3 linked regions of the Caenorhabditis elegans genome follow. The protein of the gene in region 3 interacts with the protein of the main gene of each other region in a biochemical or structural test. Each region holds a gene or a part of one and is shown on either strand. Other genes may lie near its edges. The genes, in order: par-1, pkc-3 and lin-5.

The links.
Region 1: of the proteins of lin-5 (region 3) and par-1, one has a biochemical effect on the other in vitro, tested with the Caenorhabditis elegans proteins (one study listed by BioGRID).
Region 2: of the proteins of lin-5 (region 3) and pkc-3, one has a biochemical effect on the other in vitro, tested with the Caenorhabditis elegans proteins (one study listed by BioGRID).

What each region holds. Positions count from the first base shown.
Region 1 is NC_003283.11:14,117,847-14,128,149, forward strand, and holds the start of par-1 (Serine/threonine-protein kinase par-1), read right to left. Parts: upstream 8,693-10,303; coding exon 8,469-8,692; exon of another isoform or gene 8,410-8,468; intron 8,398-8,409; coding exon 8,265-8,397; intron 5,952-8,264; coding exon 5,148-5,951; intron 4,470-5,147; coding exon 4,362-4,469; intron 3,667-4,361; coding exon 3,523-3,666; coding exon of another isoform or gene 3,499-3,522; intron 3,173-3,498; coding exon 2,887-3,172; intron 2,798-2,886; coding exon 2,215-2,797; intron 1,141-2,214; coding exon of another isoform or gene 693-1,140; intron 1-692. UniProt on the Caenorhabditis elegans protein: Required for cytoplasmic partitioning and asymmetric cell division in early embryogenesis. Phosphorylates and restricts the asymmetry effector mex-5 (and possibly also mex-6) to the anterior cytoplasm of the zygote.
Region 2 is NC_003280.10:5,375,849-5,387,724, forward strand, and holds pkc-3 (Protein kinase C-like 3), read left to right. Parts: upstream 1-4,178; 5' UTR 4,179-4,179; coding exon 4,180-4,245; intron 4,246-4,652; coding exon 4,653-4,911; intron 4,912-5,188; coding exon 5,189-5,273; intron 5,274-5,322; coding exon 5,323-5,449; intron 5,450-5,611; coding exon 5,612-5,788; intron 5,789-6,459; coding exon 6,460-6,711; intron 6,712-6,795; coding exon 6,796-7,154; intron 7,155-7,200; coding exon 7,201-7,543; intron 7,544-7,658; coding exon 7,659-7,784; 3' UTR 7,785-8,321; downstream 8,322-11,876. Other genes in the region: algn-2 (Alpha-1,3/1,6-mannosyltransferase ALG2), read left to right, coding at 1-530, 583-731, 779-1,138; Peroxiredoxin prdx-2, read left to right, coding at 2,575-2,592, 2,994-3,369, 3,434-3,645; ccpp-6 (Cytosolic carboxypeptidase 6), read right to left, coding at 8,356-8,528, 8,578-8,699, 9,080-9,204, 9,503-9,589, 9,868-9,979, 10,092-10,333, 10,387-10,600, 10,655-10,752 and 2 more; rsp-4 (putative splicing factor, arginine/serine-rich 4), read right to left, coding at 11,812-11,876.
Region 3 is NC_003280.10:7,855,704-7,864,267, reverse strand, and holds lin-5 (Spindle apparatus protein lin-5), read right to left. Parts: upstream 3,610-8,564; 5' UTR 3,609-3,609; coding exon 3,469-3,608; intron 3,423-3,468; coding exon 2,805-3,422; intron 2,757-2,804; coding exon 1,703-2,756; intron 1,655-1,702; coding exon 1,540-1,654; intron 1,489-1,539; coding exon 1,280-1,488; intron 1,172-1,279; coding exon 842-1,171; 3' UTR 705-841; downstream 1-704. Other genes in the region: sds-22 (Protein phosphatase 1 regulatory subunit SDS22 homolog), read right to left, coding at 4,590-4,781, 4,828-4,914, 4,961-5,189, 5,235-5,366, 5,409-5,566, 5,615-5,680, 5,732-5,848; T09A5.15 (Small integral membrane protein 26), read right to left, coding at 6,030-6,308; Chromo domain-containing protein cec-3, read left to right, coding at 6,799-6,808, 6,853-6,968, 7,013-7,278, 7,420-7,795, 7,846-7,918, 7,968-8,084, 8,128-8,189; mdmh-35 (MitochonDrial interMembrane space protein Homolog), read left to right, coding at 8,562-8,564. UniProt on the Caenorhabditis elegans protein: Essential component of the spindle apparatus required for spindle positioning and chromosome movement. Acts to recruit or anchor gpr-1/gpr-2 complex to the spindle and cortex.

The sequences.
Region 1 (10,303 bases), on a different chromosome or scaffold from region 3:
AATATTCTTATAACTACGAAAAGGATTAAGAATTGAAAAAAAAAATTATAATGGGCAATTTTATGTGTCTCCAAAAAATTGCATCGAAAATTGTATCGGCATATTTCTGATTAATAATTTAATTTTTCTGCAATTTTTTCTCATTCGACTTTTCGGAAAATGTTTAATATTTTAAATAACTTTTATTTTCATTAAAATCAACATAATCTGATGAATGAATTTTCAGATTTAAAAAACATTGAAATGTTATTTTTTTGGTAAATTTTTGATAAATAAAGATAAAAACTGTTGCCAATTTATTTCTAAAAATTTCCAGCGTTTTTCTTACACTCTTTATTTACTTTTTTCAAAATTTGGTTTCAAAAAAAAAAACATTTAATTTTCTTTTTTCATATTCCATTTTTTCTGATTCTGCCGAAAACTATCCTAAAATATTGGAAATACTTCGGTGATACCTTTTAGATTTTCATTCTTCATTTCTCAAAAATTTCGCAGTTTTTTCAAGAAAAAAACCTTATTAGTCTCGTTGATGCTCGGCAAATTGCTACCATTTTAAAAAACGACCAACCATAACCTCAAACCATTATCACACAACAACAATACGACTAAAAGGAATAAATAGTGAATAAGAAAGAGAGAAAGAGATAAAGAAGAGGATTCGAGCAATGAAAAGAAAGAAAAAAACTCAGCACCATTCGAAATGACGGTGTTCGCCTAAAATATGGCGACGTCGTCACAGTTGACTTCGTCGGTGTTGTTGTAGTAATATCTGGTGATGCAGCAGCAACATGTGTCAACGGTTCCACAATAAAGCTCGATGACGTGGAATTCGAGGTGGGTGGAGTTGGAAGTACACCACGTGTCATTCTTGACGAAGCAGTTGAGACGTAGAGTGCTCTCATCTGACGATCAAGCGTCGTATCTTCAAAATGATACGGTCTATCAGTGTCTGGAGGTGTCTGAAGATGTCGCGCATCAACCACCATTGTCTGATGACGTCGCCGAGGCGTTGCTGCTGATGGTTCCGAACGTCTTCCAGCTATTCCTGGCCTCCGTGGAGTTTCATATGATGTAGCTGCCGAAGAATCCAACAAAGATTTCAGAAGACTGTTGAGATGCAAATTCTGCCAGACGATCGGGCTGGAAACGAAAGGAGCACACTCTAGAGAACACACAAACGAACAACAACACACACACATGCGGATAAAAAACAGAAAATCAAACAGGAGGGGACATGAAACATGAAAAAACTAAAAACGGGGGGAACAATAGAGAAGAAGCATGCGTGTTTTTTTCTGTTGGAATTATATCAGAAAACTATACCAAACGAAGAACATCGAACCATAACACACAACCAAATTGAAGGATAAATATATAATTTATATATGAAAATAAATGAAATATTGGATAGAAAATGCTGTGAAACGCGCAAAATGTTAGTGAAATATGACGAAAAAAAGAAGAAAAAACTAAGGATTAGGTCTAAAAAGAAAGAAAATTGGTGATATGACAGAGGTAGAATAAAGAGAAAAATGGAAAATTTTGAGGTTATCTGGTCGTTTTTTTTTAAAATTATTTTGGTCAACAATTTGCGCGAGACAAGAATATTCGTTGTTGTAGGAATAAGTGAAATGAGAAGGCTGATGCTTCGTAAGGGATAGATTACCGATATGTTTGTTTGTTTGTTCAGGGTGAACTTTTTTGGGTTAGAATTTTGGAAATGTTAGAAGGAATGGGGAGTGATTTTTTGTAATCGTTTTCAAAAAGTGTATTATGGAAACGCCAGAAAAATCCTTTTTTGAAGTCCACGTGGAAAGGCTCCGCCTGCAAACAGTTGCGTCTCGTTAAGTATTTGGCGGCAAAACCGTAAATTCAAATTGAAAACATTTGAAATTACGGTTTTGAAGCCAAATACCAAACGAGACCCAGCTCCTGACAGTGAAGCGCGTTTTCACGGGCATTTTTCTGCGTTTCCGTAATATTTTTCTATTGGGAGGCGGGTGCAAGTGAAAATTTTGTGTGCTTGAGACTTTTGAACAGTTTCATGCTACTTTTGGAAATTTTTGGAAAAAAATTAATTATATTTATCTGACCCTTTTTTAAAGCCATATTTATTTACAGAAGGTGCAAAAGCGTATTTTTATAGCGTGAAAAATTTCTTTTCATGATAAAAAGGGGGTGACAAGGTGCTCCAAAACAAGTTTAAAAACTCACTTGGACTCTTTGGGTGTCTCACTGGATGCTTTCTGCTGCTGTTGTTCCTTGTCTGATGATGAAGTTGCATCTTCTGTTGGTACTTGAACAGCTGGAGAGGTTTGTGGTCCGACACCTCCGATCAATGGAACATTTCCATTCTGATTCTCACTGTTATTCTCGTCGTCGTCTTCTCGAATGACTGGTTCAGTCGGTGCGTGCGAGATTTGTGATCCAGATTTCTGAAGTGGCGCTGTCGACGTGGCAGACGATGAGGAAGAAGATGACGTGGCTGCAGTACCACCAGCCGCTGGAGTCTTATTGATGAGCTTTGACATCATTGTCGACGAGGTGAGTTGATTCATATACTGCTGCTGCTGAGCATGATCCCGATGACTTGGAATACCACCATTATTGGCTGCAACTGCACCTGTTGCAGTTCGATGTCCTTGTACAGCAGTCGAATTGAGCGGAATTCGTCCTTTTGGATCAGCAATCTTTCGAGTACCGGTGATTCCTGTTGAAGGTTGAGCAGCTGATGAGGTTGCCGTTGAGTTTCTATTGAATAGTGGCGGAATTTGAGCAATTTGCGTGGTGTTGGAGGCTGAAAATATGGGAATTTAATTCGTGTCCTTTTTCTTTTTGTGACCAATTTAGAAATCATTTTCACCCAATTCTCCACAAAAAACTCACAAGGCTTATAACTCGGCGGTTGCAATAAACTGATTGTCGCTTGCCGACTCGTCGGCTGAGCTCTCATCTGAACTCCACCATGCCTTGTTCCACTCATCACTACAGTACCACCAGCCGCCGTCGCTGCCGCATCGTTTTGCGAGCTTCTCCTCGACGACGAAGATCCTGACGATGGAGCTGCCGATGATTGCTGATGTTTCTGAGCATTCGCAGCCGATGCGAGCGCTGATCCTGCAGTGATTGATGCACCTGTGGCTGTTGCTGAGGATCGAGAGTATCGGGATGGCTGAAAATTAGGAAAATGAGATGAAACAAAAGTTTTGGACTATAAATTATAGGAGGTTGAATGTACTATAGGAGAGCAGGAATGCTTGGAAATTTTAGAGAATATAATTCCTGAGCCAGGAAGACGAAAATCAGAAAACTTTTGAAATGTTTTCAAATATATAAACTTGCAAGCATTCTTGTTCCTCGACATACTACAGTTTGCAGAAAATACGACACACAGACATAGACATTCATGCATTTCTAAAATTTGTGCGTGAATATAGGTTACTGTAGTAGGTGGATCCATACACACACACATAGAGACACAACATAATGATATCTCACATAGGGATGATGATGATCACTCACTGAAGCAGAGCTTCCAGACGCTGATGATGACGTCACATGCTCCCTAGTGATAACACCGGCCGGGTGCTGACCCAGAGACGACGAAACATTGATTGACGAATGGCTGAGCAGTGATTGGGCCATTGTGATTTCACTGGCATCCATCTGCAGAGACAAAACACACAGATTCAAAAAATAGTAGGAGAGAGAGAGAAATTGCGTTTTTTTTTCGAATAATGTTTTTTCAAGCTAGAAATATCACACAGACGCGAACTTTTGAGATTTTTCCGTGGTCTCGACACGAAAAATTTGTGTTAAATACGAAAAGGTTCGAGCCTTTAATGAGTACTGTATCTTCAAATTCATGTTGCTGCGGATTTGTTGAATCGATTTTTTGAAAAGTAAAGTTTTTTTCCTATAAAAAAAATTAAAAAACAAGAAAATTGGAAGTTACAGTACTCTTTAAAGGTGCGAACATTTTCGTAATTTACAGACCGGATGCCGTATTTTTGGAGCAAAATCGCACAATTTCGCGTATGGGTAATATCTAATTCCAGACAATTTTTTTAAAAGTTATCTAAAGACTATATCAAAAGCCGATACATAAATAGAGAAAAAGAGCAGCGATGAAAATTTGTTAGATTTAGTGGAACGGGGGAAGGATAAAAAGCGGAATTAAATAAATTTCAACCAGGGATATTGTAAATGGGATATTTAAACATTTTTTTTCAAAATGAATACCATGCGGTTTAGAAATTCGCGATTGGGTTATTAATACTCAAAGGCATAAAAATTGTGTAATAAGATCAATGGAATCTCGAATTAAAAATTGATTTTATTTTGTAAGGAATACAACTTACATCAGATTTTCGTTCTCCTAAAAGCAAATACGTTGCATGAATATCTTCAAACTTTTCCTTCTCGACGCTTTCCAAAATGGCGGCTTTGTTGAATCCGAGTTGGAAGATCTGTAAACATTTTATAAATTTGGAGGGAAATTTCATGGAATTTATTTTTAAAAGGAAAGCAATTTTGTTCAAAAATTAATTTAAAAAAGATAATTACTTTGACTTTTAGATTCAAAAAAAAAAGATTTCTACAATGAAATTTCGTATTTTTAAGTTGTTTAAAGCAAAATTGCCATTTTGTGTATTATAGATGGATAGTGGAAAAAAAAAAGCTTAAACCACCTTTTCGGTACCAAATCTTAAAAATTCAAATCCATTTTTCATTTTTCAAAGTTAAATATTGAAAAAAAAACATTTTTCGTCTAAAAGCTATCAGTTTGAATTTCTCTGATTTTGTGAAGCCCTGGTACGTTGGAGCGCACTTGCAAATTATATTTTTTTTCAATATTCATTTTTTCATTACAATTCGCCTAAGAGAATTACTTTGAAAATTGAATTTAATTAGGTGAAAAATTGAACTTTTTTCCAAATTCCAGCTTCAATTTAAAATTTTAAAAAATTGCAAAACTTTTTGAAAAAAATAATCATAAAACAGTTTTTAAACGTTTTTAATTATTATTTTTTTTCAATTTCCTCTTCCAAACAATGAATATCGTGAGAAAAATCAGATTTTTGCCTTAAAATACAATTTTTAATTTTTTCCAATGTTTTACAATGATTTTCGTCATAAAAACTCACCTGAATCAATTTCTCAATTCTCTGTTCATCAATTTGATCTTTTGGTGGCTCAATAAATGGCTTAAGCTCATCATCTTCATATCCCACATTCATCCATCGATCTTTCATAATATTATCCAATGATGATCTCCTTTGTGGATTGATAACAAGGAATTTCTTCAACAAATTCTCACAATCCGTTGACATATAGAACGGGATACGGTATTTTCCACGGAGCACACGTTCTCGAAGCTCTTTCAAATTTTGTCCATCAAATGGTAGACTTCCGGATACAAGAGTATAGAGAATTACACCAAGACTCCAAACATCTACTTCAGGACCATCGTACTTTTTACCGGAAAATAATTCTGGAGCAGCGTACGGTGGAGATCCACAAAATGTGTCGAGTTTGTTTCCAAGTGAGAAGGTATTCGAAAATCCAAAATCAGCAATTTTAATATTCATATCTTGATCGAGAAGCAAATTTTCAGCTTTCAAATCTCGATGAATTATATTTTTCGAATGCAAATATTGAACAGCAGAGACAATTTGTCGAAATTTGGCTCTTGCTTCTTTCTCTTTCATTCTTCCGTGTGCAACCAAATAATCAAATACTTCACCACCGGATGCATATTCGAGTACTAAATACAGTGTCTGTTCAGTTTCCATCACTTGATATAATTTCACAATATTCGGATGATCCAATTGTTTCATAATTTTCACTTCTCGGAACAATTTTTGAAGACTCGATGGGTTCAGAGCAGTCTTGTCGATAATTTTTATAGCGACTTCATGTCCGGTTATCACGTGCTTTGCGAGTTTTACCTGCAAAAATAATTAATTAAATGGTCATATATCTAAGATTTATTTTTGTCAGGCTGTTTCGTATTTCCGACTGGGAAAAAAAAAGATTTTTAATAAAAAGTTACGGTGCACGGTCTCCAAGGTCCGGACACGACTTAAAATGTTCTGAACAAAAGAGTGTACTCCTTTAAAGGGTACTGTAGTTGTGATTCCCTGTTTTTTGTGCAATGTTTTGCAAATTTTCACAATATGTCTATCATTTTTTCGAAGTTTATATTTCTTTCATGACTTTTATATGATTTTGGGTTTTCGAAAAATAAATTTTAAGCGTAAAAAAATGAAACCGAGATTTTTTTTTCTGAAATTTTCTCTCGTTTCTCAAAAAAAATATATAAAAAAGTTAAATTACTTCTCAAAAAGGAAATATCATTAACTATATATAAAAAAATACAGTTCGTCTGTCCGGAGTTTGTAGTCTATGTAGTCTTTGGAGTCTGTGACGTCACGCCCAAATTTCAGTGAGAATAGTGGGCGTGGCACCCTTCGTGGTGAGACCCATCGTGTTGAGACCCTACGTGGTGAGACCCTTCGTGGTGAGACCCTTCGTGGTGAGACCCATCGTGGTGAGACCCTTCGTGGTGAGACCCAAAATGTTGGCGTGAAATTCAAATTTTAAGTGAAAAAAATTTTGGCGGGAAATTCAAATTTTAAGTGAAAAAAATTTTGGCGGGAAATTCAAATTTTCAGTAAAAAAAATTTTGGCGGGAAATTCAAATTTTCAGTGAAAAAAATTTTAGCAGGAAATTCAAATTTTCAGTTAAAAAAATTTTGGCGGGAAATTCAATCAGTGAAAAAAATTTTGGCGGGAAATTCAAATTTTCAGTGAAAAAAATTTTGGCGGGAAATTCAAATTTTCAGTGAAAAAATTTTGGCGGGAAATTCAAATTTTCAGTGAAAAAAATTTTAGCAGGAAATTCAAATTTTCAGTAAAAAAAATTTTGGCGGGAAATTCAATCAGTGAAAAAAATTTTGGCAGGAAATTCAAATTTTCAGTAAAAAAAATTTTGGCGGGAAATTCAAATTTTCAGTGAAAAAAATTTTTGGCGGGAAATTCAAATTTTCAGTGAAAAAATTTTTGGCGGGAAATTCAAATTTTCAGTGAAAAAATTTTTGGCGGGAAATTCAAATTTTCAGTGAAAAAATTTTTGGCGGGAAATTCAAATTTTCAGTGAAAAAAATTTTAGCGGGAAATTCAAATTTTCAGTGAAAAAATTTTTGGCGGGAAATTCAAATTTTCTGAGAAACTTTTTGTTAGCTTAAGTACCACCTGGAACTGGCGAGACCCATCGTGGTGGGACCTTTAAAAATATGGGCGGGAGCTTCAAAATTTATGAGAAAAGAAATTTTGGCGGGAATTCAAATTTCCAAGAAAAATTTTGGCGGGAAATTCAAATTTTCTGAGAAAAAGATTTTGACGGGAAATTCAAATTTTCTGAGGAAAACATTTGGCGGGAAATTCAAATTTTGGTTCTGGAATCAATTTTTTGTTTCAGCACCTTCTGGAAGTTTCAAGAAAATTCTAGAATGTTCTAGAATCATCTGGAAAATTCAAAAAAGTTCTGAAATGCTCTACAACCTCCTATAACTGTAGGAGTTTTTATTTGTTTCGTCACATCTATATTCAAAGAACTTACTATTAGTAGTTAATTATTCAGACTTCTCCAGTTAAGGAAAGTTATTAACTTATTGAAAAACTGTAACTCTGTGGAATTTTTTCGGGGGAGGGGGACAGCTCGCCACGCCAACAGTGAGAAAAATAGTGTGGTGCGCGGACCTCGAATGATGTCGGCGGCTGATATTACCTGGGGTACCGCTTTTTGCCTTTTCCCCGTGAGTGAACGAGAAAAAGGCGGGGACTATTTTGGCGTACACGCAACGCAGTTTTATAATTTTGAGTGTAGAAAAATCAGAACATTCTAACTGTCTCTTTGAATTTTCTGAATCGAATACCATGGAAGAAGAAAATGCGATTTAATCGATGAAGTTTCAACTTTTTTAATGATACATTTTTGAATGATTAAAAGGACATCTATGTATTATACATTTTAAACTCCGCCAGTCGTTGGCCGCGCCGGAGGCGCGGTCATCGACTGGTTTTAATAAATAAAATTTTTAAAAAATTTGGAAAACAGAAAATTTGCCAAAAACCGGGAGTTTGTAACTACAGTAATCCTTAAAGGCGCTCGGTCGTGTCGAGACCGGCTACAGTATGTTTCAAGCTCTAATTTTTTGATAACTATTTTTTTTCGAAATTTCCAATCATCAAGTGCTCACCTTTGCAAAATTTCCCTTTCCAATAGTCTTCAATAGCTTATACTTTCCAACGTGTACATCCTGATCGTTGCGTCGTGCTGCCGATCGACTTGACATACCCGATTGTCCAGTAGATCGTGCATGTGATGAAGAGCTGGAAAAATTTTTATTGAAAACTGGTGGACTGGGGCTTTATTTTAATTTTAAATGTGAACTAAAATTAACTTTTTTCGGTTATGTGTGACATGATCTCCATCAGGTGACACTTTCACCGTTCGCCGTTTCCCAGATGAAGTTAGTGTGGGAGCCATCGGAGCTGTAGTGACCACTTCAGACACTTTTCGCTTCGGGATCAGAGATTCCTCCTCTTCCGGAATAGGCGTCACAGATGAACTACTTGGCTGGCACATAAATCTAGCGAGTAACGACGAGTATGCCGCATTGAACATATCGAATTAGGTCAAACGGACGCGTAAGAGCCCTGGGGCTCCCCGAAATGGAGCAAAGCGTGGAGGACGGACACACTGGAAAAAACGAGGAGAGCGCCGGCAGTAGAAGAGGAGCAAGCGAGCAAGAAGAAGAAGATGGGCGGCCTTTCTCCATACACATCCATCCATCCATCCATCCACACTTTGGAGAAGAGACACAAATTGCATCCATGTCTCTCTCTATCTGTCTGTATTCCTCTTGAAAAAAGTGTGAGCAAAAGGAGAAAAAAACTAAGAGGGAATATGTGTCCCCTTCTCTTTCTATTGCTCCCATCACATCGGAATTTCTCCAAAAAACCCTCCCCGCCGACCGATAAATGCCCCCACAAAGTGCTGCTCCAAGTGCTACATAAAATCGTGTCCCCCCCCCCCCCGCCATGCCTCTTCGTTTTTTCTAATTTCCCTTCGCGGACCCCCGTTTTTTTGTGGCTTTGATGGACGGGGCTCGTTGAATTTCTGTGTTTAAATTTTCATTCGATGCTGACTGCTTGCGGGGCCATCCAACGTCATCTCGTTGTGCTTGCAATTCTTCATTTTGAGTGAAGACGTCAGCACAGAGGGGAAGAAATGACGACTTTTACAGCCGATTTAATGAAAAAAAAAAACTCGAAAAATAGCGCTTCGGAAACTTTTTTTTTTCATTTGAGACGCGTTGTTCCAATAGAAAAGGAAGTTCCAGCCCCTCAGTTAGAAAAAATTGTTTTTCAAAAAGAAAACCGTTAAACTGCCTTTTTTGGATATAAAATCAAAGGTCAACCGAATCTAGAAACGTACTAATTATATTCGGCCACTTTGCCCCATTTAGTGGCTACGTTCATCATATTGCCCGTACCTCGTAGAACACAAAAAAAGTAAGGCGAACTCAGGCGCCGGACATAAAATGTAAAATCTGATGTTCAACAAGAACAACGATGGTCTTCTTCTATACTACAAGCTGCTATGATGAATCATGGAAAATTTCTTGCAGCACGACCAACGAAAAATTGAGGGGGCGATGAGTCATATTCAAGAAGAGAAGCAGCCGGAAAAAATATTTTGAAACAAGATAGAAACCTGGTCAATTCATATTCCGGAAAAAAGGTCCGAGGCTGTTGAGATGGATAATATGCAGAATGCCGTGAAGATGTGGAAGGTGGTGAATATGAATATGGATGATCGTCACAGCACAAATCATCGAGATCCAGTGCAAATGCGTACGATTTCTTCGTCATCTTAACAGTTCTTGAATCTTGAATCGCGAACAATAATTGAATAAAATAGTGTCGCACGTGAATGTGTAAGGTGATCCAGCAGCTTCTGAGCAGGTGTGTCAACCAGTCTGCACTGTCAGTCAGTTCAGTACAAAAATGAGTCAGTTCTTCAATTCTCTCAGTCGAGGCGCTTGTCGTTTTCTCACAACGTCTGCGTGTCCACCTCTCCTATTACTGACTCTCTTTCCGATAAGTCAATAATAAAAATTGAATAGATTGGGGGTGGAGGAGGTAGAACCGAATAGAATAGGACAACACACCAGGTGCACCGAGACGACGAAGATGGAGTTGAAAAAAAGAAGTTCGCGTCTCACTTTTCTTC
Region 2 (11,876 bases), 2.5 Mb from region 3:
TTGTACTGTGGTTCCATGGATACCCCGTTCAATTTTTGGAAAAGGTCATGCTCTTTGTGCATATCTTAAAATGATCATTGCTGCTCTCTACATTGTAATCTACCACAAAGATACTGACGTCATACTTTCGGATTCTGTATCTGCTAGTCAATTTGTTCTTCGTCATTTCTCAAAGGCAAAACTCGTATTCTATTGTCATTTCCCGGATCGACTTTTAACGAAACGTGATGGAAATCTGAAAGCTTTCTATAGAAATATTATTGATTGGATTGAAGAGTACACAACTGGACTTGCAGATGTCATTTGTGTCAATAGTAATTTTACAAAAAATGTGGTTCGTGAAACATTCAAGTCACTGGCATCTCAGGAGCTGACCGTACTCTATCCTTCGTTGAACACCGAGTTTTTCGATTCGATTGAAGCTTCGGATGATTTTGGTGAAGAAATTCCACGTGGTACCAAATATGTTTTCACCTCACTGAACCGATTTGAACGAAAGAAGAATATCGTTTTGGCTCTAGACGCATTCGGTAACTTTAGATTTTATATTTTTAAAAACCTGTGTAATAAATTATTTTGCAGAGAAATTGAAATCGAATCTTCCTGCCGACGAATTTTCGCAATGTCATCTTGTTATTGCTGGCGGATATGATTTGAAAAACCCAGAAAACATCGAACACTATGATGAACTTGTTGAACATATGAAGAAACTGGAGCTCCCAGCTGATCAGGTAATAAATACGAATTTAGCAAAGTATAAATTACTTTTAAATTTCAGATCGTATTTCTCCACTCACCATCTGACACTCAAAAAGTAAATCTCATTCGGAGAAGTCGTGCGGTACTTTACACGCCTGATAGAGAACATTTCGGAATTGTTCCAGTTGAAGCAATGTACTTGGGAACCCCAGTAATTGCTGTTAACACTGGAGGTCCCTGTGAATCGGTTCGGAATAATGAGACGGGATTTTTGGTTGATCAAACGGCCGAAGCGTTTGCTGAGAAAATGATTGATTTGATGAAAGATGAGGAAATGTATCGAAGAATGAGTGAGGAAGGTCCGAAATGGGTGCAAAAAGTGTTTGCATTTGAAGCATTTGCAAGAAAGCTCGACGAGATTATTCAATCTACGCTTTAATTAATGTTTTTTCTTGAAATTTGGGTTTTAAGCGTTTCGTTTTAGAATCGCCAGTGTATTTTTTGTGATAGTCCTATGTGCTTTAAATTATTTATTTTGAAAGGTTCAATAAATTATATTTTATGACCGAACACATTATATTCTCAGTTGTTATCTTATATATCCACACCGGAATGTTGAATATCTGACCATATATATTTAGAATGTTGCGGTAATTTTTTTGTTGCTGTGGAATTTTATTTTATTTTTATTTTTCATAGTTTCAACATTTTACAATTTATTGAAATTTATGGGTTTTAATTGTTATATTTGGCGTTTTTCGTTTACTTTTTCGATAAAAATAAATTCAGTTAAAAACTAAGTTATAACAATGAAAACACATAAATTTGAACAAATCGTAGAAAAATCACTACAAATTTGACAGATTTTATGGGTTCTATCGCGATTTATTGAAATTAACGTCTTTTAATTGTTTTATTTTAGTTTTTTAGATAAATACTGTTTTCAAACGAAAAACTTTGAAAAATCGATAAATCTCGCAGTACTCCTGAAAGGCACACACTCGTTTGTACTTAAGAAAAATTGTCGCGACGAGACCAACTGTCCAACTACGGTAGTTTTCAAAATACGCGGTTCACCGCAAAGTCAAATTGCGGACCTGAACATTTTTTTATTTTTCCCGCAAACTTTTTTTTTCAATTTTGCCTAAAGCGCTCGAATAAACATGAAAGTCTCGTGTTTCCTTCCATCCAGACCTCTCATTTTTCAATTTTAAAACTAAAAGCACTTTTTGACCTACTTTTTGTCGCAACCGCCAAAACTCGCTTCCAGAATTATTCCCTTTTTAGGATTTTCGACGCAACATCTCCAACCGGTTAGTTTTTTCGCAGATTTTCTCGCATTCGCGTAGTTTCACTTGTTTACTTCGTGGCGCCTCGTTTTTTTCCGCTCTCTCGTCTGACCACCTTCATATTTATTGATCTGCGCCTAGCGGCGCCCGTTGAAATACTCCACATTTTTTTGCAATCTTGTCTGCGAGTTCAGGTTATTTTCGACTTTTATGAAAGCTTGCTAGGAAGCCATAGCAACCGGGGAAGAATACGCTAGCCAAATGAGAGATAGAATCGATCAGCTAAATTTAAGATAAATAGTGAATTCGAATTCTAAGACCTGCTCGACCAGCTGAAATTCTAAAACTCTGCGCCAAGATGTATAGACAGGTAATAATATTTGAATTTTCTTTAAAAGTGACCTTGAACCCTAAGATTTTCGCTCCTCCTAAACGTTGTAGTCTGTTACTCCCTGCCGCGACAATTGTCAGCAAAAATCGCGTCACATGATGATGAAAGTTTGTGGCAATGTTATAAAAAGACTGACCTTATTTCGTTTCTTGGAAGATGCAAAGAAATGTTTATTAAAAATTGCAGTGTGAAATCATGTCTCTCGCTCCAAAGGTGCATTTCTTATTTGTTTTTTAAAAATATATTTGGTTACTTAGATATTAATTTAAATCACGGAAAAGTTTAAACCCCTCGATTTCTGTTATTTAACATGATCACTCACTTTTATAACAATTAATTTGGTTTTTCAAAGATGTTCCCAGAATGTTTTATTAGTTCTCATTTCGTCCTCCGATTTTTTTTCTTTCGTCGCTCTCCAATTTTGCCAATGTATTTCATTCCCATTAGATAAGCACCGCCCGTCACCTTATTCTCCTTCTTTTCACATTGCAAACAAATTCGTTGCCGTTGGGTTTCAATATCCTTTTCATTTTTTGTCGTATTGTTGTTCTTGTGATTGTGGTTGTTATTTTATCGCGGTATTATTTTTTTTTGTTAAACTAATTAATTTTTAGATGTCGAAAGCATTCATCGGAAAGCCAGCTCCACAATTCAAGACTCAAGCCGTCGTTGATGGCGAGTTCGTTGATGTTTCGCTCTCTGACTACAAGGGAAAATACGTTGTGCTCTTCTTCTACCCACTTGACTTCACTTTCGTGTGCCCAACCGAGATTATCGCCTTCTCTGACCGTGCTGAGGAGTTCAAGGCTATCAACACCGTTGTGCTCGCCGCTTCCACCGACTCTGTCTTCTCTCACTTGGCATGGATCAACCAGCCACGCAAGCACGGAGGACTCGGAGAGATGAACATTCCAGTTCTCGCTGACACCAACCACCAAATCTCCCGTGATTACGGAGTTCTCAAGGAGGACGAAGGAATTGCTTTCCGTGGTGAGTTATATTCTGAATGGAATCCTTCATATTTTCGTACTTTATTTGAAAAATAAAATTTCAGGACTCTTCATCATCGACCCATCACAAAACCTCCGTCAAATCACCATCAATGATCTTCCAGTCGGACGCTCTGTTGATGAGACTCTTCGTCTTGTTCAGGCCTTCCAGTTCGTCGAGAAGCACGGAGAGGTTTGCCCAGCTGGATGGACTCCAGGATCCGACACCATCAAGCCAGGAGTCAAAGAAAGCCAAGAGTACTTCAAGAAGCACTAAATGTCTTACATCTCTAATTTCCCCCGTATCCCTAGTATTTATCTGAACGGTTTATTTATACTCATTTTTCATTTTGATACTGAAATTCTGAAATTCATGAAATTGCTTGATAACCGTAAAATAAACTCGGTATTCGAATATAACTGTTTCTGTTCAGGAACAAACAATATGTGTCGAGACTCTCTCTCTGTTACTTTTTTGTCACTTTCCTAGACCGCCCGTGTTAGTCGGTGCGCGCGCATCGTCGTCCTGTACAGTGTTTGTGAGGGTCACCTGTGATTATTCATTTCTCTATGCCTCTTCAAAGCTGGGCCGCTCTCACTGACCTGTACACTTGGACAAAATGGGGGTGTTCGATAGAGCGTCAATGCATATATAGCTATAACAGTGTGTGTGTGTGTATGTGCATGTTTATTCATGAGTCATTTTTCCCTTTTTTACTCTAATACTGCCAACTCGTCACTGTTTCAGTTTCGCAGTTTTCGTTCAGAACTCCTTTTTTTGAACCGTTTTTAGTTCAATTTTTATTTCAGAATGTCGTCTCCGACATCATTAGAGGAGGACGGAGATATTAAGCTAAAAACGAGGTTTCAAGGACAGGTGAGATATGAAAAGTGGCTTTTGAAATGCTCAAAAATCGAGAAATACCCTAAAAATGAATTTTTCGTTGCAGTGAGAATGTGTAAATCATTTCGCCGTCAATGCGAAATTTTAGTTTGTCAAAGCTTTAAAAATTCGTAACAGAGAGAAAATTCCAGACAAAAAATAGAAAAAGACCGTGATAACCGAATAAAACTGTAAAAAATTAATTTTTCTGAACTTTTAATGATTTGATTAATAGTGTTTAAAACTTAAAAAGCTCTTTTCCGGCTAAAATTAAAAAAAAACAACCACTGATTTTTTAAAAATTCTGCAAAATTGAAAAATAATTTTTGTTACTGTATAACTTTTTTTTTTTAATCTGAAAAATTCCAGACTCCCAAATTTTAATAAAAATTAAATTCCAGGTAGTAGTACTCTATGCTCGACCACCGCTCATTCTCGATGACTTTTTTGCACTTTTGAAAGATGCTTGTAAACAACACAAAAAACAAGATATTACTGTAAAATGGATTGATGAAGATGGAGATCCAATCTCAATAGACTCACAAATGGAACTTGATGAAGCAGTTCGATGTTTGAATTCTAGTCAAGAAGCCGAGTTGAACATTCACGTTTTTGTTGGAAAACCAGAGCTGCCCGGGCTTCCGTGTCAAGGAGAAGACAGTAAGTATCATGAAGCTATCAGAAAAATTATTTAGAATTTCGAAAAAATGTGCGCCTTCAAAGAATACTGTAAAGCGGAATTTCTATCAATTTTTATAAAAAGATTGAAATGAAACAATTAGAAACACATAAATTTTGGAATTTTGGAAAATAGATCAAACTTCCGCAGTTTGAAACTACAGTAATCTTTAAAGGCACACAATTTCTCGCGTTTAACAAGAAATTTGTCGGAGGAAAAATCGGAAATTTTCGAGTCTGAGAAATGTTTTTTTTCCAGAAACTGTATATCGAAGAGGTGCTCGACGATGGAAGAAAATTTATCTGTACAATGGGCATCGATTCCAAGCGAAACGGCTGAATCGGTAGGTTTTTTTTTCTGATTTACAGCCTCCGGAGCTTCTTTCTTTTCAGCCGTATTCAATGCTTTATTTGTCATGACTACATATGGGGAATTGGACGGCAAGGCTTTCGATGTGTGGATTGTCGTTTATGCGTGCACAAAAAATGCCATCGGCATGTGCGAACGCATTGTGGTCAGGTAATTCTTTTTTTTTGTAGCGAGGATAGCTTCTAAATTATTCCAAAATTTTGAAACTAAGACCTCCCAGACTTCTGTTTTTCAATTTTTACAAATTTCTGTGCAAAACAGGTTTAAAGCTTAAATTTTTAAATTCCTCATAAAAATCTAAATCATTTTCAGGCTCTCCAAGGCCCGAATATTATCCCAATGGCTCCTGCAAGTGGTTCTCTAAAGGGTGCTCGATCGAATACAAGCTCATCTACAACGCGGTCGGGTGGAGGAATTGATAACGGAGCATTCCACGAGCACGAAATCGAATCACCCGGATCCACGAGTCATGATGCTAGCAGAGCTATGGTAAGCTTTTGAAGTTGGAGCCAAAATTTGAAATAAAATATATTTGAAATTTGATATAAATATCTTTGTCTTCACGTCTCCGAGGGATCGTAATAAATTTAATTTAATATTCAGAAAAGTTAATTTTTTTTGAAATTTATTAGTTTATTTCCAAAAAAACATAACTTTTATTTAAATAAAACCATCTGAAAAGTCTCAGATTTACAATAGCTGAAAATGAAATAACTCTTGTTAAAAAAAACAATTTAAATTGGAAAGTCTTTGAAATAGTGGTAGTTAATTGAAATATTTAATTAAGTTTAATCCAAAGTTCAATTAAATATTAGGTTCTTCCTGTTGCAATTTCAATTTCAAATTTCTAGATACGTGATATATGTAACTCTTGAAAAACATTCTAGATTTCTAGACTCAACTACATTTTTTTGTTTTTTTTTGGATGAACAAGTTTTTGTAGTTTCACTCTTTCTCTTGCTCTCAAAATTTTTATTCATTTCCAACCACAATTCCCTTCCTCGCTGCGAATTCTGATTTCTTCCTGATATCAAAATATTTTAATATTTCAACGTATGGCACTTTTCTGTCAGTGCTTCCCAGTATCAGATAAAAAGAAACGGCGAAAAGTATTTTTAAAGTTACATAGATTCAAATACTAAAATTTTTTAATATTTCAGAATGGAAATGGGTCGTCAAAATGGGCAGTTTCTCTGAACGATTTCCGTCTTTTAACAGTTATTGGACGTGGATCTTATGCAAAAGTTGTGCAAGCAGAACATGTTTCAACTCGTCAAATTTACGCGATAAAAATTATCAAAAAGGAGATGTTCAATGAAGATGAAGATATCGATTGGGTACAGACGGAGAAGTCAGTATTCGAAGCAGCGTCAAATTATCCATTCCTTGTTGGATTACATTCTTGCTTCCAGGTTGGTAACTTTCTTTTTCTTCGATTTTTTCAAATCTCAAATTTTCGCATTAAAAATTTTAAACCAAAATTTTGATAATTTCAGACCGAATCCCGCCTGTTCTTTGTCATCGAATTCGTTCCTGGAGGTGATCTGATGTTCCACATGCAACAGCAACGGAAGCTTCCAGAAGAGCACGCTCGATTCTATTCGGGTGAAATAATTCTTGCTCTTCATTTCCTTCATTCTCGCGGAATCATTTATCGTGATCTCAAATTGGACAATGTTCTGATTGACGCTGAAGGACACATAAAACTGACAGATTATGGAATGTGTAAAGAGAATATTAAGGATGGAGATTTAACTTCAACTTTCTGTGGAACACCCAATTATATTGCACCAGAAATATTGAGAGGTGATGAATATGGATTCAGTGTTGATTGGTGGGCATTGGGAGTGTTAATGTAAGCCTTTTTTGGTTGAACATTTATTTTATTTAAATCGTTTTAGGTTTGAAATGATGGCTGGTCGATCTCCATTCGATATTGTTGGAATGCAGAATTCCGAGGAAAATACAGAAGATTATCTTTTCCAAATCATTCTTGAACGACAGATTCGAATCCCTAGATCACTTTCTGTACGGGCTTCTGGTATTCTAAAGGGATTCCTGAACAAGGATCCAACAGAACGTCTGGGATGTAAGCTTGACATTAATGAAGGTCTTCGTGATATGAAAGAACATCAATTCTTCCGTGGATTCATTGATTGGGAAGCTTTGGAACAGAAGGCTGTCGCACCTCCATATCATCCAGCTGTGGAAAGTGATCGCGATTTGACACACTTTGATCATCAGGTAATTTTAATTTCTTCAGAACTTAACTTTAAAAAAAAATTAGTTTTTGTTTACTAATAAATTATTGAATCAAAATATTTTAAAACTAATTCAAAATGCTTGTTTTTTTTTTCAGTTCACCGACGAACTTCCACAATTATCACCTGACAATCCAGATGTTATTGCACGAATTGATCAATCAGAATTTGATGGATTTGAATACGTGAATCCTCTACAAATGAGTCGGGAAGATTCAGTCTGATTCCCCCACCATCCCCCGAGTCCCAAATATTTATTTTCTTCGGTATACTTTTTTGTGATTTTTATTATTATTCTCGAATCCCATCTCCTTCGCCCACTGTCTTATACGATACTATGACACACTAACTCGTGGCATAATCAGTATCCTAACTTATTTTCTTTTTCTCAACATCTGTTATACATTTTCTCGCAACAATCACTTCTACTCGTCTTGTGGTATCTTACAATCCCGAAAAGGTTGTGATTTTTTTTGGTTTCTGTTAAAATCTAGACTATTCATACTTGCTAGGAATACCTAATGCTTGATGACCTCCCCTTCTAAATACACCTTCTTGTTACTTTTCTTGTCAGCTCATTCATTTCCCTGAAATATATGTAAAATTGCGGCGAAGACTACGATCAATGTAGTCTCTTCGCCATCTGACACTTCTTTTGTGCCACGTGTGGAACTCGATTTAACTTCAATTCAATTTACATGTTCTTCCATTTGACCACTTCCCTTACTTATTTATTGACAAACAAAAAAAAATTGCATTTCAATGGTCTTTATCAGTTCTAATGTGGGCGCCAATTCATTTCATCATCACAGTCTGAATCACCTTCCTCGCTTGCTTTTTCAAAGTTTTCTGGGCGCGGGCGGGTAGAAAAGTCTTAAAGGGACGTTCGAGCACAATCTCTCGTAGTCCACAGTCGGCTTCATAGAAGTTGAGAAGTGCTCTGCAAAATGCCTCGCCGAGAGCTTCATCTGAAAATTGAACCAAGTTACAGTAGGAAATCACTGAAAAAAAACCTACATTTATATTGAAGATATGGCGTACAATGTTGTATTCCATTTCCAGAAGAGTCTGTATGGCGATAAGAGAAGAATGATACTTCAAGTGTATAGCAAAGGCAGGAAAGTAGATCTCCCATCGTTCTGAAAAGTTATGAAGGGTCCTGACACGACTGGCATTTTTCTGCTACAGTAACCCAGCGTGTTTTTCTCAACTCCGTGTTTCCCAATGTATTCATTTTGAAAATATGCATATATTTTCTAGAAACATCATTATAAAACCACACAAAATATTGAGAAAATGTTGCAAAATAGAGATTGAAAGTAAAAGGTACTGTTGCTGGAAATGTTCACTCACGCCAGGACCCACAGTCGTGTTTTTGCACGCAGATACTACGGATGACCATGTGAGAAATTACTAGCTATTGCAAAATTCATATCGTGGCAAGACCCATCAAATTAAAATCACGACTATTCGAAATCCATAATAAATTATTCGTTCCCTTCCATATAAAAAATCTCACCTTCTGCCAGTACCAGCCTTCTCCACATCCGTGTTGAATTGAGTGAACTCGAGCGAATAATCTTCGGAAAGATCTGCCAGCAAATGCGGAAGCCATAACTGCCGGAAAGTCGATTTTTCTTCGACCGAAAATTAGAAAAAAATGTTTCAGAAAATTTAAATTTTGTGGTCATTGCAAAGTTGAGCGAAACTATGAAAAGATTAGGGTTTAAAATTGTGAAATGCTGTAGATAACTGCTAAGTTTCGGTAGTATCAAGACCGGGTACTTTGTTTAAAATCGCTAAGTTCTTCAATCGGCTAATATCGGGTCTCGCCACGGACAAAATATTTTCAATAGTTGCTGTACCCCTTCAAGAAATACAGTAACTCATAACTGATTCTTGAAGTTGCCCGAACCAATTCACAAAAAAATTCACAACTTACAGCTGACATATTCACATTTCCATACAAAAAACAATTTGGCTTCTGAGAATGGGCATGTAGATCAACGTAGATTACAGTTTGGGCTTGCTGAAATATTCAAGAACAGATCCTAAAACTTCTACAAATTATTGATTCATTTATTCCTAAAATTGACACATAACAGTGAGCATGGCAACTTTCCCACAATGTTTCAATTTAACCATAGTCTACAGTAATCTAGGATTTTGATCGCTTCGAGATACAGTCAACTTGAATGTATCATGGGAATTGCAAAAAAAAATTGATGAAAATGCTCAAAAGTCCTACAAAACACTGAATATGTATATCGATAAATTCCCAATATCGATAAATTTAACAGCTCTCACCGGATTATTATCATATTGCGTCAGTAAATTCTTCACAGCATAAATTGAAGGATGAGCCCAATCTGAAGGGGTTCTCCACATTCTATTCAAGTCATGACCCATTAGAGAACATCTGAAATGACCTTCTGATAAGGTAGGCACTGTAGGTAGGTACGCCTTTATGCCTGGGCCGAGAGGTTGTTGGTGACGAGGAATGCCTACCTAGGCTGTTTGCAAAAAGTTACCTATAATTTCCGAGAAAAACGCCATCTGGATTAAGCATTGGAATAATTTTGAAACAATAAACTTTTCTCAACTTCTGTGCTCGATCATCTTTGGAAACAAGAAATTCAATAATTCCATGCATAACATGACTACTCGGTGACTCTCCAGGATGAACTCGCGCAGTTAGAAAAATCATTTTCTTGGATCCTTGGAATGTGTCAGGTGTTGCATCAATTGTTATCAAGTCGACACGACGTTTTTGCTGAATTATTTTCCAAAAAGTTTCAGACTATTCCATGAATATTTCCAATTTACCACAGTTTGAACCAAAAGATCTCTATGAAAAAATGGGTATTTTCTGGATTCCAACTCATTCAACCATATCTGCATTTGTCCATAAGTATACGGTATACAGTATGCAAATTGAACAGGATCTGGTGATTCAAATATGAAAGCAAATGAAAGAATCCAACGATCATTGTGTTGGGAACTACGGTAGTAGTAGATATGGCGAGATGGGATTCGAGCCCTAAAATGTTGAAATGGCTCTTTAAAATAGAAAATCGAGGGGTTTTCATCATACCAACTATTTTGAGCATTTGATTTGACTACAGGTGCTGCAATTCCCATTTCGAATAGTGTTCTTTGTTTTGAAAAGTTCACAATATTGAAGATCGCCCGCTGAAGAATTTGCAAATTTGATAATAAAATTTTAAAGTTTAAACTGCATAATTACACTAATTTTCAAATAGTACCCAGTCAAAAAGGTGTGCGCCTTCAATCAATACAGTAACCGCCGGTAACTTTCAAAACGAGGAATGGGTTACTGTATTCTTAAAGGCACACACCTTTTAGCGCGGAAAATAGAGTACTGTAGCTAGGAAAAAAGTTGTCTCAAAATGTTCTCCCCGAAAATAAAGAACATATTTAGGTATACTGGAAAATTCGTAAATATTTCAGAACCATGGCCATTGCAGAAAAAAACTGAAAACCTACAGTAACCCGTAGGGTATTGAATTTTTTTAAAAATCGCTGCGAGACCCGACGTTTCCGCCTCAGATCCAGTTTTCGAATATCAATAATAAATACAAATTCTTCAAACATTTACCTGATTTTCAGATGCATTTTTGCATTCAAAATAGAACCAAACTCTATATTTATTATTCAAAGTGTCAGGTCGAATGAATAAATCATATTCTGAACAGGAAACTTTGTCGACTCGTCCCAAATTTCCTTAAAATTTAAACTTTTTAAATATTCAAAAAATAATAATATAATTACTTCCTTGTTTGTCTATAATTGAATTTAAAACTAACCAGATTCAAAACTTGCTTCAAAAACCAAATTTCCCTGACCAGGAATTGTATCAGGATAGCTGACATTTCCAACATAGCCCATATTGAAAATGAAATTTTGTTTTTTTGAAAACCAGACCTGAGCTCCGACACCGGAAGCCGGAAGTGTGGTTGGGTGAACATTTCTAACTGCTTTGACACTTGAGCCAATTTATTCAAGAGAAAAAAGTTTGGAACAATATTGACGGACAGAATTTCGATTTATTTTAACAGTTCTCTTGGAGAAATTAGATGGAAAATTGGAAATCATATATATTACTTGTCTTGTTGGAGGCAACTGGAAAAAAAAGACGTTTGAAATTTCAGGATCAGTGAGTAAATCATAGTAAAAACGAAAACGAAAACGAAAAATAATCAGAAATCGAAGAGGAAATTTTTTCGGAATTTAGCGGGAGTTGGAACGGCTACGACTTGGCGAACGAGATGCCGAGCGGCTTCTGGAACGGCGTT
Region 3 (8,564 bases):
TTCGAAAAAACTTTTGCGACAACTACACAATATGTGGATAATACTTTCAAATTTGGTGCCGTCCATAGAGTAAAGGTTTAGGATGTGGGGTTTATCATAACAAGCTACGCGAGGTTTATCTTACAAGCATTTATTAGTATAAAGGGACAGACGTATGGCAATGTCGCAACAAGTAAACGGGAGAAAGGAGCAATAAGACACGTAACTTATAAAAGGTTAAGAAATGATCCAGAATGAGCGATCCTCAGCTTATATATCTAGGCGTTCGGCGGTTAAAGGAGCAGCCTTTATCGACGATGGGTCTCGGCGCGGAGAATGCGACCACGGCGGCTGGGCGGCAATTCAAACGGGGACGCGTCGGCACCAGGGGTGTGCGGCGAATCGAATTTTTCGGCGATCGGCGAATTCGGCGCTCGCCGATTTTTGAAATTTTCGGCGAACGGCGAATTTCGCTCTGCGAGTTCGCCGATTCTCGTACGGTGAATTCGGCGATTTTTCGGCGAACGGCGAATTCGGCGAACGCCGATTTTCAAAATTTTCAGCTAACGGCGAACTCGGCGAATCGAAAAAATCATCGGCGAACGGCGAATTCGGCTAATATTCGCCGCACACCCCTGGTCGGCACGATGATTTGTGAAGGAAAAGGGCCTGATTCTTACAATAGAACTGCGATGAAACAATCATTTTCACAAGAACACATAAAAAATAAGAAACTTCTTCATTTCTCAGCGATCGTTAGGAAAGGAATTGTAAAATAGATAAAATAGGATACAACACGGAGCAAAACATAAAACAAAAGTGTGTTGTGAAAAAGTTATATTACAATGTATGAAAGTATATTTTACTGCTTTTTGCTCGAAAAAGCAGAAAAAATCGAATCCCGACGGTTCTTTTTCTTGGACTTCTTGATATTCTCCTCGTCTGCGGATGGCGAATTCGTACTTCCAACTTCAGAGGCGTACGAGCATTTTAGGTGTGGCTTCACTTTCTCGTTTCTGGCAGTGAGCACTCCAACTCTTTCCTTGGTTACTCCGGATGGTGTGAATGGTTGCTTGAACTCTCCAGCTGATGATGGCGATGCCAATTGGATAGATTCCGATCGCATCGACGAACGTTGAAGACTAGACCGGTCGAAGAAATCCAAAGAGCAAATTGACTCACGTCCATCGTACTGAAAATTGAACGTTCTGGACAATATTTGTGGTAAGAAATTGTCTCGTCTATATAAGAAATTGTCTCGTCTCACAAAATTGAGGTTGCATAATAATAAACTGATTACCATATTCGACTTGAATCCAATCGGTGTTCCTTTATCGAATTCGTTGTCGTCCACACTAGGAGCAATCGATTTTCTTGGGAACGTGGCAAGCTGTGCTCGCAATTCTTCTTCGGTAATTGTTGGTCCATTATCGGCGAGGAAGTCTGGCAAGCTGTCTGGCGAACCGCATCTGATTCTCGAACCTCTCATTGGAGCTTGTTGGAAGATTTCTGAAAAACAAGATTGAAAATTCAATTTCGAAACGTTAAATATGAACTCACTGATTCTCTCACCCATCCAGGTGGATTTCTTAATCTCGGCGCTTTCCTTCTCTCGAAGATCTGCAACTTCGTGCTCGAGACGTTGAATCAGATCCACTCTAGATTGAAGGAACAGCTAAAAAGTAAGTAATGTTGTATTCAATTTGATATTCAACAAGCAAACCTCTTTCTCCTCCAATTCGGCTTTATGCTTCATTACCACACTTGCGAAGTTTTCTTTAAGGGTGACTGTTTCGTTCTCTTTTTCCGCTAGAGAATTCTTGAGAATTGCCAACTTCTCGGCAAATTGAGCTGAGGCCTGATCGCGTATTGCCTTTTCATTCTTTATCAGATTGGCAGCTCGTTTGTTCTGCTCCTCTTGAAATTTGATGATATCGTCCTTACTCTTGCACGCAACTTCCAACTGCTCAATTTGTCTTTTCGCATTTTGAAGACAAGAACCCATTGACTGAAATTCTTCGTTGCTTTTATGTACAGCTTTGTCGACATTCAGGGACTTTTCATTCAGTTCATTCCAGAGATTCATCAAGCGCTTTTTCTCGTTCCTCTCTTCGTCAAGGTCAGCCTGAAGGCGTGCATTCGTGGATTTCATCATTTTCTCTCTTTCCGAGTGTTCCAAACGAAGAGCATCGATTCTGGAGTTGGCCATGCTCAACGCTTCAAGCTTTTCTTGTCGGAGTTTGTCCACAGTCTCTTCAAAACGCGCCAGTTCCTCGGAAAGCATAGTTTTAGAGTTGTCAGCATCTTGTTTGTTTCTCAATGAAGCAACACTCAACTCCTCAACACTGGCAGAAAGGCTCTCGTTTTCAGATTTCAGAGACGCTCTTATTTTTTCCACTCCGGTAAGTTGTTCCTGGAGGTCAGCCATTTGGTCCTGCGTCGCCCGAAGAGTCTCAGTAAGCTCCTGTTCCTGCTGACGGAATCTAGCGAATTCATAGTCGTTGAGATCTCGAAGCTCTCTGGCCTGCTTCATGAGCTTCCCATTGTCTTCGGTCACCGTTTTCAGCTTAGCAGTAAGATTCTCTTTCTTTATGTCAGCTTCCTCCAGACTTCTTTGCTCGGATCTCAACGTCATTCGAGATTCATTGAGTTGTTGGAGAATGTTGTGGACTTCATCCTTTTTGGCTTCGAGATCACAGCTCAATTCTTCAGCACGAAATTGTGCCTCCTCGGCGATACCTTTCAGTTTAGCGATGTCGCTTTTCAGATCGGAATTCCTAAAATATTTTCTCCATATTTTAAATTCAATGTACCATTTTACTTACGAAAGCTTCAAAGTTCTGTTCTCAGCCGATAACTTGGTCTTGTCATCTTCAAGGTCTCCTAACATTTGCTCCAAACCAAAGATTCTCGCTTTAGACTGCTTCAGCTCCCGCTCGCTTCGCATGAACTTCATGGTAGGGGAATCGACAGCCTCCGCTATAGGGCTTCGCCGAGCAGTTGAGGAAGCTGTGCGTAGTCGCCGGGCAGTAGCTGTTGGTGTTTGCAATGATGTCAAGCTGTAGTTGTTCCTTTTCGGAGTCCTGAAGCCACTGGATGCTTCCTGATCTTCGTCATCTCTCCGAAGACATGCCCACCAGTCGTCAGCGGTACTTTCCGAATACACGTTGTCGAAAAACAAAAACATATCAAGAAGCACAGCTGTGTCGACGCGATTCTCTGATGACGCTTGCTCCAATGCGCGAGTGAGCATTCCCGAGTGATCCTTTCTCATATACTCGAGAAACAGAGCGTAGAATTTGCAAATCTCCAGTGAATCTCCGCTCGCTGCAAGCTTCGGTTCCAATGAATCGGTCATGAAGCTGAGACTCGTTGTGGCGATTTTGCGGAAGATAACTTCATAGAATTTGTCAGCTGTGCCAAACTCCCGAGTGTCGCATGACCTGAAAAATAAAATATGAAATTGTTTATGAATGAGCTATTACTTACATCATACTGGCGATCATACTCCCGTGCCTCTCCCAAAGCTCGGCTAATGAGCTGATTGTCTCCGTCTTCGGTGTGAAATTGGAGCCAAAATAGTTCGTCAATTGTAGCATTGACTTCACAACTGATGTGCTCACGCTCATTCTGCAGAAGGAGTAATTATTCAAAGAAAATGCGAGTGGTTGAGCGAAAGAACGAGAGAGAACGCATACATAAACGAAGAATATTTAAAAGACGCACGCAGAATGTCTGCGTCTCTTACACCATGCTCGTACACTTTTCTCACGACACTTCTAAAAACAGCGGGAATTCAAATGACAATTTTTCCATGGACCTGCAGGTCAACATGCACAAGTCTACCAAAAAAATATTAAAAGGACGAATAATAAATAAAAATGAAGCTGTTAAAAAGTGGGATGACACACTGATTGAAATGAACATTAGAGGAATCTAACATGAAAAATAAAACCAAAAATGCGCGCGCGCGCGAAAATGGTTTCATTCTTTATTTATAAAACCATGTGAAAGATTATGTGCATGCGCCTTTTAAAAAAACCGTATACACATTGCTGAGTTTGAAATTATTTAATGAAAACAAAGAAAGAACATTCCTTTTTTAGGGGACAAAGTTAAGTGCGCCTTCCAATAAAATCTTTATTTTCACAACAAAAAATCTTACAGTAGCTTTCATTTCATATATGTTTAATACTTTTCGAGGAAACTTCTTGATTGTTCTCAAAAGAAAAGCTCTGTAATTGACACACTTTAAGTTTTCAGGCATGGAAAGTTGGTTTTGGTTCATATTTATTTAGCGAGAAGAATAAATAATTTCTTCTTAAAATCTCACCGCACCGTCTAAAAACTACTGCATTATTCTCAAAGTATGAAACCTTTTTCAAACTCTTGATTAGTCGTTTTTTTTTTAAATTTTCATTAGCTGATAATATCTGGCCATTTCGATTGGCTTCGCCCATATGGAGGTCGATTATGATTCATTTGCGATTCCTCTTAATAACCTTACACTTTGTTCTCAATATCAAACAATGAAGCAAACTGATACATATTTATGAAAGATTATCATGGATAAGAAAAGCAAACGGATATTTATTGGAAGCGTCCGAGAGTTATTCAATTGGCTTTCTGCACGTAGTAGCATCAATTTGAGTTACTTGGGTGAGGGTCATCATAACTTTTCTGCGATATTGGTTTGTATCATTGAAATAGAACGGGTTTCTCTCCAAGTATACAGTTTGAAGACCCTTTAACTTTGAAAGTTGCTCAATTTCGGAGAAGCTTTCCACTTTGTTGTCGTTTGCCTGCAATAATAAAAGATATAGAAGAAACGTAAAATGTCTCGGTTACCCAGAAATCATTAAGACTTTCTAGTCTTTCAACGCCACTGAACGTTTTGATTTCGTTATTTGCAACATCCAAAAGAAGTAAATTAGTCTGCAAAAAAGACCCATTTCTCAGTGTATTTTGAATTGCTTTTTACCAGAGGTTCGACGCCATGAATATCTTGTAGACCCTGATCACTGAGGTAAAGTTCCTTCAGATTATTCAGTTGCTCAACATTTTCAATTTTCACAATACGATTTCCCGGCAAGCTGAGAACACTGAGCTTCTGCAAGGTCTCCACTCCCTCCAACTGACGAATTTTATTTTTGCCGATAAATAATTCATCCAAATTTACAAGGTGACCAATGTTCTCGATTTTCTTGATTCTGAACACAATTTGTGATTTTGATGTTGAAACATTCCATATTTACCGATTATCTCCCAGTTCGAGCAGTTTGAGCTGCGTCAAAGCTTCTAAATTTTCGATTTTTTCAATTTTATTGCTGACAAGGTAAAGAGTCTCGAGCTTTGTCAATTTATCCAAGCCGTTGATTTGGCGTATTCTGAAAGTTATTATTGAAATAAAAGTTTCTTAAATTCTTCACCTGTTATAGCTCAGATCAAGAGAAACCAAATTTACGAGTGATTCGAGATGCGAAATTTCGGTCAACTGATTTTCGTACAAATCCAGGGATGTCAAAGTAACTAACGAAGAAATTGTGGGGCTAATTGAAACCAGAAGATTATTGCGCATTCTCAGTTCCTGAATATAATCATTGTATTTACACACGTATTTCTGAAGTATTCTTACCTCTATTTTCGGAAATCCAGTAAGATCTGGAATGTGATCAGCGCGAGTGTGAGTTAGATCGATTTCCTGAAACATGTTTACTTTCACCAATAAACCCAAGCGGAAAAAAAAACAAACCGGAGAATCGATATCGAATGTGCTCAAATCGAATTGATTTTTCAAAACAGGCTCTTTGGATTCTTCGTCATTTTCACGAGGAAGAACAACAACTTCAGCGGATTTGTCGTTGGACATTACTAGTAGTAATATTACTCTGAATTTGTAAGTTTCGCACAAGATTATCAGTCAGTTATAGATATTGTCAGGCGTATTTAACGCAATATTTAAGAAAGAGATCACAAGCATATCAAGACCTATATAATGTTTTTTGAAAAACTATGAAAAATACACGTAGAAAGAAACAAATGAAAAAAAGTTATTTTCGTTCGAATGGATCGATCCAGACATTTTGAGGACCAGCTTGTTGTTCTCGAGATGATCGAAGTAAGGCCCGTTCCTCTTTTTGTGCGTTTTTATAATAATCATGATGATATTTTGGATAAAGCGTTACAGCAGCTACAGCACAACATGTAACAAGTGCAGTAGCTACAACTGCCATGGATCCGAGTGTTGGCCGATTAACTTTGGCCCATTTGGGAAGACGATTCTTGACTGACAACCAAAACGGAACAGGGGCTCCTTCAGGAACGCGCATGTGTAGCTAAAATTGATTACAATATGACTTTCAGTATGTTTAATAGAATAAATTGATGGATTAATTAAAAAATGTAGTCTATAGAAACAAAAATATGTTTTCTTATTTTGGCTTCATCATTGAAGAGATTGCTCATTCTAGGACTTTTTTACCGTAGAAACAAATCTGTGAGATTCGTTAGCTGACCAGTGATCATGCTTATGAAATAAAACAAGTTAAAAAGTATTTTATAGACAATAATTGAATATTTCGAAAAAAAAACTGCAAAACTTTCACATTTTCATTATTTATCAAGAACAAATTATTTCCATTCAAGTTCCGCAATCCGGGGAAACTGAGTCTCTTTTCTCAACTCCGCTAAAGAGGGCGCGCAGCAGAACTTCGGAGCGTCGTTGCTGCTGTCGCTGAGTTTTCTTTTGAAAATTCCGTCTTATTTTCTAATCTTCAATCGATTTTAACTGTCGACTAATAATCTCTAAAAGTTGTGAAGATGAGTAATGGTATGTTTTTATTTATTTATTAAAACCTAGAATAGATTTTACAGAAGGTTCACGTGAAGAGTCTCGAGAGCCCGAAGCAAGAGAGGGAAAGTCTGACGAGATTTTTGAAGTTGAGAAGATTCTTGCTCATAAAGTTACAGATAATCTGCTAGTGCTTCAAGTAAGTCACGAAATTATTTCTTAACTTAATTGTCCACATTTTAGGTTCGTTGGTTGGGTTATGGCGCCGACGAGGATACCTGGGAACCCGAAGAAGATCTGCAAGAGTGTGCCAGCGAAGTTGTTGCAGAGTACTACAAAAAATTGAAAGTCACTGACAAAACAGAGCTTATTGAACTTCTTCAAAAGCAAATAAAAAAGAACAAATCGCAAAAATCAAAAAAGCGATCGAAGACGGTTAGTGACCATGAGTCTAACCATGACAGCGACGGTAGCTACGGTACTCCGAAGACATCGAAGAAAAGTAAAAAGTGAGCTAAATTCTTTATTAAACGACAATAGTTTGAATAGTGGTGTTGTTTTTTTTTTCAAAAATGTAAATACATCCACACGTAATTGTCGGGAATGATGCTAATGGAGAGAATTCCATTTTTTTAAATCGATTTTTGCAGATCTGCTAAAAACGAAACTCCTGTATCATCAAAAGTTCCAAAAGTCCCAACGAAAGCTGCACTCAAGTCATACGAAGCAACGGTTTCTGGTCCAGTAGCTCCAAACAATGCGAAGAAAGCTGCAATGGAAGTTCGTGATACCCGAAGAAATTGGCTTGATGAAGAATCTTCCGATGACGAGGCAGAAACTACGGCGCCACTCAGTGATGTTGAGAAAATAGCGAGCAAAGTAAAAGTAGTGAAGGCAGTTGAGGAAAAAGCAGAAGAACCTGTCAAGCGACCATCTACACCACCAAAGCCAAGAGAGGTCGTTATAAAGAAAGACCCAAGCGAAAGTCCAGTTGCCAGCGCATCTTCAGTTATCCCAACGTCTAAGGTGGGTTCGAGTGCATAAAAATAATATGTATATATATGATGTATTTTCAGAGAAAGTCTATAAATGCGGAAACATCAAATGGCCGTCAAAGAACTCTTGCTCCCCCAGTCATTGTGAAAGATGGTAAATTATTTTTTAAAATCCTCGTAAATTGTTCTTTATTACATTTCAGAAACAACCTGGACTGTTGATGGTATTGCTCGTCACACTGATGTCGACAACACTAAAACGAAGCTGATACTGATGACCAACTCCGCCACTGGTGAACGAAAAGTCGTCGAAGGAAGAGGTAAAATAGGTTATTCTCAAAGTTTCGAATCTTTCATTTTCAGAGGCATTCGAACTTGATGGTTGGGCTCTCGCCAAGTATCTCCTCGATCGTTGTGAATTTTGAATTTCGAGTTTTGTTAATTTCGTTAAGCTTTCGATTTTTTATTTTTTGTCTCATTTCATACTACAGTTCAAAGCATATCTATCTCTCTCCCTGTTTCTATCATTCATTCTCCTTCCATACGATTTAAACGACTCCTTTATTTATTTCGTTACTATCAACTCTGTTTCATCGAATTCATCTTTTTTCTTCTAACATTCCATAACTTTTCTGTTGAAGAATCTCTTTTCAAAATGTTGATTCATCTAATGAATATATCTTTTTGAAAGTTCAATTTTCTTTTTAATGTTTTATCGGTTTATCTCCGAGTCGTTTGATATCTGAAAATGTCTTTAATTCTACCTTATAATATACCATTTTAGCTATGCAAAAAATATG